Linked DNA regions of Caenorhabditis elegans. The protein of the gene in region 1 interacts with the protein of each later gene in a pairwise test. Each region holds a gene or a part of one and is shown in the gene's direction. Other genes may lie near its edges.

Region 1 (6,424 bases):
CCAGAAAATTCCGATTCCGACGATGATGAGCCAATGGAAGCCACTTCAAAAGCTCCAGAGATGTCAGTCGCTGAGCCAAAAAGTATAATTGAGAAGCTTCTGGAGAAAAAGGCCGAAAAATCGGCGAAATTGGCGGCCAAGAAGCTGAAGAAGAGAAGCAAGAAGAAGGAGGCAAAGAAGATTTCTGATGGAGTTTTTCAAGTTAAAATGAAGAAAAGGTTTATTTTTTGCTAATTTGAGTGAAAAAGTGAGAAAATTCCAATTTTTCTCTGCAAAATCGATATATTTTTGGCGAATTTGCATAATTTTGAGCTATTTTCGGCCGATTTTATGAAAAATTTTACCAAAACAATTTTTTGAAGCATTTTTGTGAAAACTTCTTTCCTTTTCTGCCTAATCTTTAAGCCTAAGCCTATGCCTATGCCTATCCCTATCCCTAAGCCGAAGCCTAAGATTAAGTCTAAGCCTAGGCGTAAGCTTAAGCCTAAGCCTATGTCTATGCCAATGCCTACGCCTATGCCTATGCCTGAACCTATACCTTAGCCTATGCCTATGCCTAAGCCTATGCCTGAACCTATACCTTAGCCTATGCCTAAGTCTATGCCTAAGCCTATACCTATGCTCAAGCCAAAGCCTGAGCCTAAGCCTAACCCTATGCCTGAACCTATACCGTAGCCTATGCCTAAGCCTAAGCCTATACCTGAACCTATACATTATCCTATGCCTATGCCTAAGGCTTAACCTATGCCTATGCATCTTCCTATGCCTAAGCATAAGCATGAGCTTAAGCCTGAGCCTATGCCTATGCCTACGCCTACTAATTTTTTCTCATTTCAGCAAGGCAAAATTCAACGTTGTGACTCTCAAAGCTGGTGTCCAGAACATTTTAGAGCCACAAATCAACTTCCGCGAGGAGCTTCTCAAATCAAGAACCGCCGGAACTCGTCTTGCCGATACTGAAAAGTTTTTGCAACGTGGCAAATGGGTCTCGAAGCGATAATTTTCTCCTTTTTTTGTTAATTTTTCTGTTATTATTATCATTTCCAACTTGTTTTTTGTTATGAAAATGCGATTTTGTGTTTTAAACCGTGTTTTTTTTTTGCATTTTCCATTTTCGTCTCATGCCGTCGGTCCGAATTCGGTCAAGGTTATTTCTTATACCAACTATCCAATTTCTCTTCATCTCTTCACCGTTTATGTGAATTCCTTCAGATTTTCTTTTTGAAAAATGCCGATTTTCAAGCTAAAAAAGCTTCAAAACCGTGATTTTCCACAAAATTGCCTCTCTCCACTAGAGACGCAGATGGTGAAAGCAGTGTGTAAACACACAGCTCAAAACGTGGCTTTTCGCATTCTAAATAGATTGGCGTTGCGTTTAAAAGCCAATTTTTTGTGTGAAAATTGGTTTTTTCTGGTTTGAAATTGTGCAACGTGGAGTTAATTTTTTCTAATTTTTCCTTAAAAAATTTAAAAAAAAAGTTTTTTCCAGGTTTTTTGAAAATTAATATTAAAAAAAAAAGGAAAATATTACACAGACGCGAAATGTCGCGTCAAGAATATGGTACCAGGTCTCAACGCGATAATTTTTGGTTGAATTAAATTCGACATGCGCTTTTAAAGAGTACTGTAGCTTCAAACTTTAGTTGCTGAGGAATTTTCATAGTTTTTCACACTATTTGTTAAAATTATTTTTTTTTTTAATAATTAAATTAAAAATATTTTTAATAAATTAATCAATTTTGGCAAATTGTGAGAAAAACTGAATAAACTGAAAATTCCCCAACAACTAAAGTTTGAAGCTACAGTAATCTTTAAAGGCGCACGCTCGTTTTGTATCTGACAGAAAATTGTCGCGTCGAGACCCGATACCGTAGTTTTGGCGCAAAATTTCGCGTCGGTGTGATATTTTTTTTTTCAATTTTTGACCAATTCCGTTAATAATGGGTCTCGCCACGATAAAATTTCCTCTCTTTTTTTTACAAATAATTAGTTTTAAAATCAATATTTCCAGGTAAAAACCATGAATCGAGCTAACGACACGAGCTCCAATCTGAAGCTCATCTCATTGGTCGTGCTCATTGTGCAAACCACCGCACTTGTTCTCACCCTGAGATACAGTCAAACGCAGGTAGAAAATGCAGAAAAAATAGTGAAAAAATACCACAAAAATGGAAAAAATAGCTTAAAATAAATAAAAAACTATTTTTTGGAATTTCAATTTTGTTTAATTTTCGGATTTTCAAAATTTTTAAAATACCTTTTAAAAAAGTTTAATTTACGATTTTTTAGGCATATAATTATAATTTTTTTCGTAGAAAAAAATTATTTTCCAGAAATCCGAAGGACCCCGCTACCTGTCCTCCACCGCTGTCGTCTGCGCTGAAATTATCAAGCTTATCACATGTTTCTTCGTGATCTACCGGAATAATGGATATCGGTTCAGTGGAATGCTCAATGAGCTCAATCGGGAAATTTTCGCGTCTCCGCAGACCAGGGCTGACTCGTTGAAGGTGAAAATTAGAATTTTTCGGAGATTTTTGGAAAAAAATCAAAAGAATTTTAGACAGAATTTTTTAGCGATTTTCAAAAATTCGAAATTTTCAAAATTTCAATAATTTTTGTATTTTTCCAGTTATTGGAATTAAAAAAATTTAAATGTAGCTTTAAAAAAATCAAAATTTTCAATTTTTTTTAATTTTCAAAAAGTAATTATTAATTTTTTAGAACTTTTCTTTCGAAATTTACAGAATTTCAAGGGTTTCTAGGAATTTATAGACATTTTTCAAAAATTTTCGATTTTTTTTGTATTTTAAGAATTTTTTAAAAATTAATTTTTTAAAAAATTGAATTAATTGAAATTTTTGAAATTTTTTAGTTTCTAACTTATTTCGAATTTTTAGAAATTTTGAAAGTTTGAAATTATCTGGAAAATTCAAAAATTCAAAAAATTGAATTTTAGGATTTTTTAGAAATTAAAAAAACAAAACTTGCGAAATATAATTTTTTATTTAAAAAAAATTAATTTCTAATTTTTTTTCCAAATTTCAGGTCGCAGTCCCAGCCATCATGTATGTTATCCAGAACAATTTGCTCTTTTTCGCTTTGAAAAAATTGGACGCCGCTACTTATCAGGTACAGTTTTCATGGTAAATTTTTAAAAAATTTTTTCAGGCAAAACTAACGAGTTTTTAACAAAATTTTGATTTTTCCGAGTTTTCAAAAAAAAATTGCACTGAAAATTTGACGAAAAAATGTTTTAAAAACCTTCAAAAATTAGAAAAATGGCCGAAAATCTTTTTTTTTTTCAAATTTTTTAAATAACTTTCCCCAAATTCCAGGTGACATATCAACTGAAAATCCTCACCACCGCGATTTTCTCCGTCACAATGCTCGGAAAATCGCTTCACCGGTACAATTGGATGGCTCTGATCCTTCTGACAGCTGGAGTTGCCCTGGTACAGTACCCCTCTGGAGATTCTACTACTTCTAAGAGTACCGCAGCTGAACACGATGCTTCTGATAATATTTTAGGTAAAAATGAAAATTTTAAGCTCGTTTTTCGATTTAAAAAAAATTTGAAATTTTATTTCCAAAAGAAATTGGAAAATTATAGTAATTGTAAATTAAAAATTTTTTTTTATTCAAATATCGATGTTTTTAAACTGAAAATATTTATTAAAAAATTCAATTTTCGTAGATTTTAATTTTTTTTTTAAATCTAGATTTTTTCAAAAATTAAACCTGGTTAATGCATAATTTTTGCTATTCTTTTCGAAAAAATTCTAAATTTTTTGACGAAATAAAAATCCCAATTTTTTTTTCCAAAAATCTATTTTTTGGGAGAAAAACTACTAAAATTCAATTTTTGTAGGAAAGTTTTAGTGAAAAACGTTTTAAAAATGTTCCTAAAAGTGTATGTACGTTTTAAAAGACAACATTTAAGAAATCGATAAAAAACCATTCAAAAATTTAAAAACGAATAAATCAGCAAAAAAACGGCAAAAACCATTAAAAAAACAAAAAAAAAGAAAAACTGGAAATTACAAAAAAAAAATTCAAAAAATGTGGAAAAATATCAATTTTCAATTGGAAACTGAAAATCTCAATTTTTTATTTAGAACGATTTTTCCGTTCCAAACTGGAAAAAATTACTAAAAAATCAGTTTCTATAGGAATTTTTTAGTGGAAAACTACGTTTCACAATTCAAAAAATCAACCTAAAAAAAATCGTTTCCAGGCCTCGGAGCAGTTCTAGCCGCCTGCTTCTCATCCGGATTCGCTGGTGTCTACTTTGAAAAAATCCTGAAAACATCGAAAGTCTCCCTGTGGATCCGTAATATTCAGTTGGCATTTTTCTCGGTATTCGGAGCACTTCTCGTCTGTTGGCTCTATGATTGGCAGGCAATTAGTGATGATGGATTTTTGAGAGGATATAATGGAGTTATTTGGATTGTCGTGCTTTTGCAGGTTGATTTATTGGAAAAATTTGAAAAAATAATGCTAGAAAATTGAAAATTTAATTTTAAAATTATAATATTCGGTTTTATCGAATTTTTTTAAGTTTTTGTTTTTGAAAATCGGAATTTTGTCTTATTTTTCTTTTAAAAAATTCAAACTAATTTCAAATTTATAGAAAATGAATTTTCCAGATTTTCTGTTTTTTTCCAGATTCTCTTTTTCCAGATTTTCTTTTTCTTTTTTTTTCAGATTTTCAGTGAAAATTACATTTTTTTCACAAGTTTTTCACAAAAAAACTTGCAATTTCTAATCTAAAAAATTTATTTATCTTTTATTGAATCGGTTGTTTGTTTTACAAAAATCCTTCAATTTTTCTTAATTTTTTTTTGCCAAAATTTCAAAAAAACCATTTTCTCTCAGAAAAACCTTCAATTTCCTATTAAAAATCTGAAAATCAAATAAATTTCAAATTTTCACAGAAAAAGAATTTGCTCCGATTTTCTGCGAGAAGTTTGATTTTTTTTTTGATTTAATAATTTTTAAACAAAATTTGAAATTTGTGAAGATCCCTACAAAAAAAATTTTTTTCTGAAAAATTTTTCAAAAAATTATTTTGTTTCATCGAAATTTATTTCTTATTTATTTTGAATAAAAATGCTAAAATTCTGATTTTTTATAAAAAATCCGAATTTTCAGTTTGAAATTAAAAAATTATTAATTTTTCGATTTTTCCATTTATTTTGAAAAAAATTGAATTTTTCATAATTTTTTTACAAAAAATTGAAAATTCAGAGCTACAAAAACTTTTTTTTTTCTGAAATTTTCTGCAAAAATTAAACAAAAAAATCAAAAAACTTTTTTTTAATTCAAAAATTTCCAGGCTTACGGAGGGCTCGTGATTGCTCTCGTCGTCAAGTACGCTGACAATATTCTCAAAGGATTTGCAGTCTCGTTATCAATTATTCTCTCATCATTCACTTCATGGCTTGTTCTCGGAGATTTGACTATTACAACGTATGGGATTTTTTGGAAATTTTTTTTTGAAAAAGAATGGAAAATTTGGACGAAGTTCCGTTTTTGATATAATTTAAATTGAAATTTTTAAAAAAATTGACCAAAACGAATGAAAATTTTACTTGAAATCCATTTAAAAAAATTGTTTCAGAACCTTCGCCATCGGAGCCACCGTTGTTATCTTTGCAACATTCCTCTATGGCCACGAGCCAAAATCGACACCAGCCGAAGCTCATAATGCCTGATTTTTCTGTGATTTCTGTGATTTCCCAACTCCCTCGCTTATATGATTGCATTTTTCTAGTCTAAGTGCAGTTTAATATCAATATTTGTTGGTTTTCTCTTTCTGTAAGTGTAGGGAAGCACACACGTCATACAAATTGTAGAAAAATTGTCAATAATATCGTAAGTTTAAATTAAATAAATTATTGAATGAGCATACTATGACTTTTTAAAGAAAATTGAAGAAGAATTAAAGAATTGAGAAATTAAAATGTTTACAAAAAATTCAAAGTTCTCTTTAAGACATTTCGAAGAAATAATTTTTCATAAGGAAATGCCTCCGAACAATATGAAATTTTACTTTATTAAATTCTAACTGTTTAACAATTTGAGAAAAATAATTTTTCTTGACCACAAAATTATGATTATGAAGGCTGAGAAATGGGAAAAGCAAAAAAAAAACAAAAATACCAAAAGTTGCTGCAAATGACTAATTCATTTATGCTGAATTCAGAAAATCTAGGTGTAACACGTCGAATTATCGATAATAATTAAGAAACCTTCAGATTTTTCCGTGAAAAAGTTATTTACTGCAATTACTCAATTTTTTTGATTTTTTTTCCAGTTAGTTTCGACATTTTTTTAATTCGATAACTTTCGAGGTGTCGAAAGTTTTTCGTGAATACATATTTGGTGCTCTCTGTGTCTCTCCGCCCTCGGCACATCGGAC
Region 2 (5,707 bases), on another chromosome or scaffold:
AATGTTTGATGGAAACATGTTCCATAATGCACTGATAAGACAACAACTACCGTGTTGTCAAAAACAAACTGTTTTAGGTTTAATCGGAAAACGATTGAGACCGTCGTCTTGATGGAATATTATGAAATCACTGTCAACAGAACAAGTGACCAAAAAATGTTGTAAAAAGCACAGATGGACATGAGAACGCACAGTTTTTATTCAGACACCGCCTTACAGATGCGAGAGCAACCAGAGCAGTTGATGGGCACACAGGCACGACGATTAGTGGGCAGCCGCCCGTACTCTCTGTCTTTTGACTGCATCTGGGCAGTTGTCTAGATATCGATACAATTTTGACCCAACAACACAGTAAAATTTTGGTCAATATTTGCTTTTTATCATAACTTCCCTCCTGTCATTTTTGATTGTTTTGTGAGTGAGAGTATGCAAATGGTGAGATGCAACTTTTGCCAATGGACTAGTCACAAGACTAAATAAAATAGAAAACTAGTCGCAATAAATTATTAGAGTGAGAAATAAGTTTTGTGGTATGTTTTTTTTGTGTCTCAAATAATATAAATTTTTCAAACGTTTGTACCTAACTTTTTTAAAATTCAATTTTCAATATAAATTGAATATGTTTGAATTCAAAAATATATAAGTCCTTGATTTATTCTGGTAAAGTTTACTAGATTCACTCCGTGCATTTTTATTCTTCAAATATTTGATTAGGCTGGATCAAGGATTTTGATTGTCAAACACTGAACCAGCTTTTGGATACAATTTTGCAGTATTGATCAATATTATCATTTCTCTTATGAAATATTTGTTTTCCAGCATACGAAAATGTGTGATATTTTTATTAGTCATGGTATATATTCATGTGACTGCAGTTAAAATGATACAAATGTTCTAAAAGCCGGAAATATTCTGTACTTTTGATAGCTCGTAAATCTCGTTTCAACGCTCATTTGTGAAAAATGCGACCTACAGTACTTTTGGTAGCGGCGTGTAAACTTAATAAATTTTAACATTCACGATTGTGCACTCTCTCAACTCTCATAGAAGTAATTGGAGATTCTGATTTTTTTTCCAAAGTGCAACGTACCACAGTTCTTCTCCAAAACTTTTCCTATTTCTCAACTTGTATATTTTTTCGCAATCGAACTTACTCACAGATTTTCAATACTTCATCTACAATATTTTTGTTAATAAATTCTGAAAATCGGAACATACTGCATTGCTCTGGATTTCCTTTAAAGCTCACGGTTTGAAAATTTTGGAATTCGCCAAACGTTTGACTCAAACTTTCCAAAATTGTTTGGAGTGTTTTATTTGGTCATTTTATTATTATTATTGGTGTATTTAAACAAAATTCCTACATGCAAATTTCGAAAAAATATTTTTGTTAGTTTCAATTATAAATGTTGTATATTTATCATAATTAGGAGACAAGAGCAAGATCACTTTCCAAGTGATAAAATTTTTTTTTTGAATTTTCAAGAAAATTTTCATCAACTATGTTTTCGAATTTGTTTTAATGGAGAATGTCATCTTTTTAAATAGTTAATAATTTTTTTCACAAAACAAATCCGCGTGTTTTTGGAAACTTGAGCAGAAACTTTTTCTATTTGTGCTTCAATGGTTATTTGTCTTCACTTTTAATAAACTATCAATTGCCATGTTTTCATATTTTTAATTTTCCACCTCATAACTCACCTCCCTCGCAACTCAGAAAATTAACATTGGCTTCCAAAGTTCACCACCTTTTTTTCTCTAACCACACCATACAAATAGAACTGTTATCAATCTGAAATTATTTAAAAAGACGTCGCTGAGATAAGAGCGTCAGTCCTTTACACGCGGCACGCAATGAGAGGAGCACTGCAGTTACTACTTTTTGTTGGTACAGTCACTCTGGTGAGACCTATTGTACACTTTGAAAATATTCTAGTTAAATTTTTATTCAGGTGGCCAGCAAGCTACATGAGTCCCCTTACGTTACCGAATGCTTTGATGTATGTTTAAATTGTTTTTTTGTAAGTTCTCAATTTGTTTTAGGGGCACTACAACTTCAGAGGCGTCTGCTTCCAATGCACTCCATGTGGTGACTTCATGTACGAGCTGTAAGTAATTTTTTGTTGATATTTTTTATGCCAAATTCATTCAAAAATTACGGGACACTGTCTCATCGTGGAATCTGTAATAAAAAGTCTGTAAACTGCCAGATTTAGCGGTTAGATCTTTAGATACTTGAAAAACCAATTCCTTATGAAATTGTAAAACATAAAACAATCTGACAGCCCGTGTATTCAAACGGTCTTGTCATTTAGCATTGATGTCAGAATACTGATAACTGTGAAGAGCATGTCATGCACACCTCGGTGTCATATGGTGTCGTGAAAACTTAGTGCTATTGAGTAACAAGGTGATTGATAAGAATAAACAGTACTTCAGTTTGAAAACAGAAATTTGATAGCAATCAATTTTCCGGGCATTTGTTTATTCAAACTTGTGACTAGCAAAACATTGAACATAGTGAGTTCAACTCACCATGGGTTTTCAAATTAACTCGGCATTTGGAGCATGGGTGTGCGGCAAATATGCCAAATTTGCCCAGCACAGCAAAACTCGAAAATGCAGATTTGCCGAATTTGCCGAGATTGGCAAATTTTGAAATTTACACATCAGTAGGAATGTTTTTCAGAAAATGGGTTTTTAAAAAATTTATTTAGGTACCTTAACTTCAAAATACCCGTTTATAAGGTTCAATTAATTTTCTAATATGAAAGTTTATGAGTTTCAAAATCTGCATGCAACCGTTGTAGAACATTATCATGCAAAAATTTAGTCAGGGGTCAAGCTTGATAAACAATATTTATTTTCAGTTTCTTATGACGTCATATATATATATATTAAACATATTTTATTATCTCGTACGGAAAACTCGCATTTCGTCGAAAATTTCCCTTTTGTGAAAAACTATTAAAGTTTTTAGAGCAAAATGCACGGATACTTCAAACACAGTTTGTGGATGGTGTGGAAACAAACCAAACTTGGACAAAATTTCTGATGAGTATGTCATAAAATGAGGCTGATTCTATTACAAAGTTAGCCCATGTTTCAGAGTGCTTGTCTCTTACCAAACCAAGTGTCTTATGTCTAGCCTAGATTTCATCGGGATGACCAAACTGAAAGACGAGCTTGTCAATGTTTTTGATGATGAAAAGGATAGTGAGGAGGTAGAAGAGTTACCAATTAAAGATAATTTCATCAAAGGTGAAAATCTTGAGATGATTGATTCAAATGAGATCAACTACGATATGGCGAGAAACAGTTTAGAAGATGTGTACGATAGTCAAGAGCACCAGCTACCAGACCCGACTTATGAAGAAGGAGATGATTCAAGTTCTTCGGAAGAAATTGGCGAAGAGGAGAAGACTGATGAAAATGAGATTGGAAGCGAAATTGTTTCGGAAAAAGTCAAAGCTTACATGATTGAAAAAAGTGAAAAAGTTCCGTCTTCTGTTAAAATTGCGAAAGGAAAAACTACAATTGTTTCTCATGAGGTAGGTGGAAAACAACAAAACAATAAAGTTAGCATATTTAAATTGTGCTATGCACTGCGGATCTGGAAGTCAGGAACACTGCCTGGTAGTGCTCTCACTGGGATATAAGGGTGAGGCCGGACTTGAACTCGTGGCCTCCAGATTGCTAGCGACCACCACTACCAACTGAGCTATCCCGCTTCTGAAATATGTCGGAGCAAATCATTGAAATAAGAAATTGAAAAGTTTTGTATACTCAAAAAAATTTTGAAGACTTTTTGACGACCCAATTTTCTTGAACTAACTTTTTTCTTTTTGTTTTTGTTGATTTTCTAAGTGTTTAATTTAAGCAAAATTCGCACACAATTGAGAAGATGCCAGAAAAAGTGGCTCCGAGTTAAAACCGTTGGGGTGGTTAAACATTTTTGAAACTGCCGTCATAAATTCCCTCACTTTTAGTATCATCTATAATCTACAAAAAAATTATTGTGTGAAGCTAACTTTTTGATGTAAACTTGGGATATCTCGCTCTTATGTTTTGAAATTGACCATGAAAATTGAGTGCCCAATTTTTAAATTTTCAGAACTAAATTCATCATTTTAATTTCAGGAAGCCGAGGCCACATTCCGAGAGATTGAAGCCCTACCAAACCCTGTGCGCAAAATCAACCAAGACGATTATGACTCCTCTGAAGAGTCAAACGAGCGTGAAATCAAGTGGGACAATTGGGTTGATGATCAAGTGAAACCAATCAGAACGGTATGTCTGCAAATCTACCCGGATTTCTGAAATTTTTTTGAAATACAGAACGTCGAAGTTGTCGAAGCCGAGGAGATTGAGGAATTTGACCAGCTCATCGCGTAAGTCAATGTTTCAATGATTTTTATTTGAGAAATTTCCATTTTTCAGAAAGTCGCTCAAAAATAGAAGAAAGATCTTGAATGATGAGACAGAAAGCTCACCACTATTCATTAAAAACTTGGGTTCAGTCTTTGTCATCTGTATGGGAATGATCATTGTTGTGTAAGTAAGCTAGATCACGTGGATTCAGAATGTCATATTTCGATTTGATCTTCAAAAAATGCGGGAGTTGAGACGCAGACATCTCATCTGATTTCGCATGGTGCTAACGTCTCAATTTTTCTGGAAAAAAACTTCCCGCCTTTTTTTGTAGATCAAACTATAAATCAACACGTCTCAGATTCTAACTTTTGAACTGTAAAATCTATGGTTTGTTTTTCCAGCACTATTCTCTCTATCACATATGCTTTGATGCGTGCGGAAAGAAAGGAATTCTTGGGCGTCCCCACCGACTCGCAGGACTATCATAGTAGGGATTTCAAAAGAGTTACAAAAAAATCTAATGTACAAAGTTTATTCCAGTGATCATTGATTCCAGCAATTATATCGAGAAGCTTGAAAGCAAGGAAAAACAGGCCAGCCGTCACGTTCATGTCAACCCAGTTTTCGATGTTTGATTAATTTTATCTTCTCCGTGAGAATTATGAGAATTATCTGTTTGTATATTTAATCTTCTTTATTTTTTTATTTTTGTATTTTTTAAATGTGCATCCGCATTTTCCATTTCATTTCTTTTTACGTTCTGAAATAGTAAATTTAAAATTTATGGGAAGAATGTATCTTTGATAAAACCTTTATTCCATTTCAAAAAAAAATGTCGGGGTAAAACACCAAAAAGGGAAATGGGTGATAACACCGCCTGAGGCCACGAAATTTAAGTGGAGGGAAATGAGAGGTGATAGAGATAGCATATAATACCCGAAGTTGCATGAATGGCTGACAATGCTCGAAGAAAAAATCAAACAAGGGATGGTTCTAGAAGGGAAAGTGAAAAATGAAAAAGAAAGAAAAAACGCAGAAAGGTACATTTGTAATTAAAATTTCAAATATGGCCATTAAAACTTTTTCAATACGGTTTTTAAAAAACAGGTAACACGGAGGATAGTGGATGTACACATAGATTAGCTAGACGACAGACTGAACAGAAGCAGTGCCCCTATGCGGTCTACTATTAACAGAGCTGATTGATACGGTACTTGATGGCTGTGCTGCGAAGCCTCTTTTGAGTTCGAGCTCTGCATAGTTCACACCCTCGTGGAATGCAGCGACCGTTGTCCGTTTCTTCTGAAGTGATGATGAGAAAAAAAACAAAGAA
Region 3 (4,873 bases), on another chromosome or scaffold:
TAGAAAAATAACACTGATACTGGAAATACTGAAATTTAATTATTTTTTTATAAATTTTAGGTCAATTCAACACTTGGTAGAGGGAGCCACTACAGATGGAAAAGCCGCAGCCAATTTGGAAAAACTACGTTTATTTCGACAATTTTATATTCTCGTTGTCGTCTACATCTACTGCACGAGGTTTTTTGGCTTCATATTACTCGTGAGTTTTAGAATTATAACAATTAAACATGTACAAAAAAAATTCTTAGCTTCAAGCCAGCGCCAGTGGGAAAAGTGTTGAAACCCCACTTTTGTGGTGCCAAAATTCCAAATATCACAGTACAACTTTATACAATTTTTTTAAATTTTTGATATTTCGTTTCAAAAACTGGTAATTACTCAGGTTTTACTACTTCATTGAAGTGGTCGGTCAAAAAAAAAAACTACCTTTGGATTTTATAGTCTACGTATGTTTCAAACATCGGTTTTTAAACAATGTAAGTATAGATTGGGACAGTGCCAAAAAAAATGGCAAAATCTCAGTAAATGTCACTTTTTGACTATGAATTCAACATTTGTAAAAGATTTACTATGATATTCGGTCTTTTTGGTAACCTAGGAGCGTGTTCTAACAATATCGTCACCGGCTCCTACTCTAATTTTAATCATACATATGTGTGCATAATTATTCCCGTTCAGCACTTAATGCCTGTGAACCTCCAATGGACCATTGTCGCTGCAGTCGAAATGGTTACCTTCGCATTTTTCATCATCGTTGGCTACAAATTCCGGCCTGCCAATTCACACAATTATCTGCTCTTGAACTCGGATTTTGATAGCTATGATGTGGAGACATCGCCGAAAGAAGATAGGAAAGATAAAGAAAACAATGAGCAAGAAATTGATGAGCAGTGAGTCATTCGTTTTATCATCTTTGTGAAAAAATCAAAACCTTGAGTTGAGAAAATCTTGCAGATTCCTGACAAAAGCCTACTCAGATGCCAATGTGTCGAGGAGATTGGTTTCAGATGAATCATCAAACAACCAAACCGACTATCCCCATCAGAAACTTTTGAAGAAACCGTGAGTGGCTTTCAGTATTAATACATAACATTCAATAATAATCTGTATTTGTTCAGTTCTCAAACCTACGAACAATCATTGCTAGATTAATTATAATCCGTTACAACAACAACAAAAACAACAACGAGTTCAGTGCAAACGGAGGGAGGCTTATCAACTCAACCAACCAACTGTTTCGATTATAATACTATTATGGACAGGATGATCATCCAGACTTCTATCGCGTTCTACTCACTATTTTCAAACATTTTGCTTTTCAAATAACATTTCTACCGGTCCTTTCTAGATGCATGATAATGTGTATATAACTATTTTAAGATAATGATGAAAATTGAAACTGATTTTGAAATATGATAAAAACAATTTCAAATTCCATTGCAATATCAATCATTCCTTAGAAAATATTATCATCATTATCTAAAAACTTCAAGATGTATGAACTAAATTTTTTCAAACATATAGGTGAAAGTACACTGGCCAAAGTGTATAAATTCTAGTCTCCGCCTCCTTTTCCCCATCTCTAATCTTTTTTAGTTGTAACATTTAGTCCAATAAATTTCCAGTCGTGTGATGTGATAACTCGAGACTCCCTGTAAAAAAATATTGTTAATTATTTTTCATTCTATTGTGTACTATTTTCTGAACCTTCTGTGTCTTTGTGTGCTCTATGGTCATCTAGTGAATTCAATATCTTATAATTCATTAATGAAAAGAAGATTTTTTTCCTTACTTAAAATCCTTTGTAACATTGATATAACCTCATATTACAACATCTATACAATATTTCATGCAATTCAGAACGACAAACCAACTCTAATGAGGGATCGCCGCATTGGACAGCTGTCCGAGTTAAAAGGACTAGTGGTAAGAGAGGGGTGAACAAGCATGGCGAAAGGGGGTACGCATTATTGCGTGCGCGTGTTTGCGTACTGCGCGTATTAGCCATTGTCTGCCGACCACCCGGAATCCGGCCATTTTCTGTGCACCGCAATAGCCAATACCGCTCGATTATTAGTTTTACGAGCCAATTTGCTCTTTTTATAATCCATCTTAGCTGTTATCGATTTTTTTTCGAGTTTGTATGGTTTTATATGCATTTTTGTTTTGTTATTAATGCTATTATTATTGGGTTAATTGCGCAAAATAGTTTTCCAAAAGTTTTTATGTTGAAATAATAATTTCCTTCTTTATACTCCTTTTCTAATTATCATCATGGTTTTTTCTCTTTTATCTGTCGTTTCCCTCAAATTGCAAGAAAAGTGTTTTCTTTTTAATTTAATCACAAAATGATTATTTTTAAATTATTAAAAACAATATGATTTATGGTTCAATTTCAACATTCACTTGATGTATATCAATTTATATTGATTTTTCGCGTGAAAATATCTCAAAAGAGCTAATTGAAGCGCGGAAACTTGTTTACTGTGTTCTTTTTCTCTGTCTGATTCACCAGACATCACAATGCTCAGTTAGAAGGCAAAAACATTTTTTCCTCTCCTATATGCCTCTCATTGTTTTGGCCGTTTTTGGCCGTGTGGATTACTGTTTTACAAACTGTAGAATAGAATTTTCACACTTTTTTATTTTTCTTGATGTAAAAACTTTGATTTTGAACTGCAATCCGATAGGGGGAGATCTTCATTGAAAAAACGTTTTACCGCACTAGAATGTTCTCATAATTAATCAAACATTAACCAGTTTTAATCAACTCAAAAAAGTGGAACTTTACCCTTTGATAACAACTCCATTTCCGACTATGATGGTCAACGGTGCAATGATAAGAGAAACGTCTCCCCCTGTATATTGACATTTATGTGCTTTTTCAATTTTCCATTGACTACATATAAGACAGTAAGGTGGACAATAGGAAATAGTTTTGCTCTATTTTATGTTTTTGTTCACCACTTCCGTACCTGCAAAAAAGAATTCAGAGCTTGAAACCTTGCCACCTATTACGACCACAGTTTGCGTACAAATGAGTGTGTGTGTCCGTTCGCGTCCGGCCAATCCTCTCTTCGTCGCCTAGCCGTTTTTTCGCGCGCCTCGATCTTGATTTTCCGCGTTCCTGCAGTTTTCTGTGTTTTTCCGAAACTAGGCAAAATCAAAACGCGGCGCTCGATTTCTTTTCCATTTCCTGTTGACTAAGAAAAGAGTGTTTTAGTCAATCTTCCAAAGTGGTTTGATTGACATCGACGCCCCTATTTCACCACCAAAGCGTCTTCTTGCCCCCCGCTTCTTTCTTCCCTCATCTTTCAACCCTTGCCCCATAGATGGATGGCTTTTACATACTTTTGGAATACTTGCACTTCTCCCGCTGCTTGCTCTGTGTAGTTCAAAGTTGTCGAGAAGAACAAAAACTGCAAAAGGCATTTTCTTTTTTTTTTGCTTTTTCGCTTCATAGATCGTCGTCATGAATTATGTTTGGCGCGTTTGAGTGAGGTGTGAGTGCAAAGACCTTGAAAAACATTTCAATCGTTTTTTTCACAGATGAGCAGGTTGCCTATATATCTCCCCTCTCGTCAACTCGCTTTTTGTCACCATTGTTCTTTTGACCATTTTTACCACCTCTAACCTTTCGGGTTGATGTGTATCTCAATACTTTTTACGGTTGCGCCGCATTAGACCCCCGCGTTCGGGAGGAGGCTACCCCACAAGTGTTGACATACTCTTCAACGTTTCTACGTTTAGTTGTGCCCTCAATTTGTTATTTTGATTTCTTTTGGGCAAACATAACTATATTCCTTTTATTTGCCAATTTAATGTTTCAAAAAGTCGATTAATTACGTTCACAGCTCCCTTTACGAAATAGTGATGTGAATTGAAAATTTACTGGAGAATGAACTACTGGGTTTTAAACTTTGTCGTAATAAGTGCAAATAATTAACCGGATTTTTTTCTCAAAATTTGAATACCCGCGCAAATTCTTGCTGAACAAATTTTGTATGTTTTTTTTCCAAAAAACATTTTTTGTAGCAAATGAATTTAATATATTTTTTATAAAATAACCAAATATCATAATAAAACTTTAAAAAAATTTTGAAAATGTTTTTTATTTTGAGTAAAAAAGCTGTGAAAACTCAGTATTTATATATTTTTTCTATTTTTATTTTTTCAAAAATATTTTTTCATCCAGTTTTGTGCTTTGATTATATTCAAAATACTTATATTCAATAATTTCCGCATTGTAGAGATTATAACTTTTTACCGCTTCTGACTCGAAATAAGATTTTGTCCAAAGTTTTTTGATAAGTTCTATTATCATATTTGGTCATCATATATTATAAATCATGTAACTATATAAATATTTTAGGTCATAGCAAAAATGAATAGGAATTTCAAAAAAAAAATAAAAGCAAGTCCTTATTTGTTTTGCATACTTTTTCTAAATTTCTTTCAAGTTTTAGTTTTAATGTTAAAAAGTATAACAAACCGTCTAAAACTAATAATAGAGCGTCTTTACAGTCCAAACAAAATACGTGAAATTGATTTCCCGCCTCTTCAGACTTTTTCAAGCTGAAATATTTCGATCTCAACATTTTTGTTTAAATTTTGTAATAGCACAAAGTTCCAGAGTGCATTCTACATGTTTAACCATTTTTCCCCATTTCCACATTTTTCAATCGATGAAAAATTAATATAATGGCGTCGGATGAGACATACATTCTTTTATTTTCAAAATGTTCAGAAAAAAAGTTCCACTCACACCTCGTGATACAGTGACTCAGCCACTTTGAAATGACCAATTGTTAGAAAACTATTTAGTTGGTGGTTATAATTTACGTTTATATTTTAAATCATTTGACATGTT

What was found. Proteins that work in one complex are often made in the same cells at the same time.
Region 2: the proteins of nstp-4 (region 1) and T02C5.1 interact in a two-hybrid assay, tested with the Caenorhabditis elegans proteins (one large-scale study listed by BioGRID).
Region 3: the proteins of nstp-4 (region 1) and C15H9.4 interact in a two-hybrid assay, tested with the Caenorhabditis elegans proteins (one large-scale study listed by BioGRID).

Annotation. Positions count from the first base shown.
Region 1 is NC_003280.10:386,822-393,245, forward strand, and holds nstp-4 (UDP-N-acetylglucosamine/UDP-N-acetylgalactosaminetransporter nstp-4), read left to right. Parts: upstream 1-2,011; 5' UTR 2,012-2,020; coding exon 2,021-2,128; intron 2,129-2,333; coding exon 2,334-2,510; intron 2,511-3,048; coding exon 3,049-3,132; intron 3,133-3,338; coding exon 3,339-3,531; intron 3,532-4,237; coding exon 4,238-4,467; intron 4,468-5,338; coding exon 5,339-5,472; intron 5,473-5,623; coding exon 5,624-5,717; 3' UTR 5,718-5,911; downstream 5,912-6,424. Other genes in the region: C03H5.3 (SRF-dependent transcription regulation-associated protein), read left to right, coding at 1-218, 838-1,000. UniProt on the Caenorhabditis elegans protein: Uridine diphosphate-N-acetylglucosamine (UDP-GlcNAc) transporter in the Golgi apparatus. UDP-N-acetylgalactosamine (UDP-GalNAc) transporter in the Golgi apparatus.
Region 2 is NC_003284.9:2,693,081-2,698,787, forward strand, and holds T02C5.1 (TNFR-Cys domain-containing protein), read left to right. Parts: upstream 1-1,842; 5' UTR 1,843-1,854; coding exon 1,855-1,902; intron 1,903-1,952; coding exon 1,953-2,000; intron 2,001-2,043; coding exon 2,044-2,108; intron 2,109-2,980; coding exon 2,981-3,058; intron 3,059-3,109; coding exon 3,110-3,551; intron 3,552-4,140; coding exon 4,141-4,290; intron 4,291-4,338; coding exon 4,339-4,391; intron 4,392-4,440; coding exon 4,441-4,554; intron 4,555-4,775; coding exon 4,776-4,861; intron 4,862-4,914; coding exon 4,915-5,009; 3' UTR 5,010-5,193; downstream 5,194-5,707. Other genes in the region: igcm-3 (Ig-like domain-containing protein), read right to left, coding at 5,518-5,676.
Region 3 is NC_003284.9:6,095,784-6,100,656, forward strand, and holds the start of C15H9.4 (Transmembrane and coiled-coil domains protein 2), read left to right. Parts: upstream 1-1,859; 5' UTR 1,860-1,929; intron 1,930-4,873. Other genes in the region: C15H9.5 (GOST seven transmembrane domain-containing protein), read left to right, coding at 61-202, 682-893, 958-1,065, 1,122-1,155.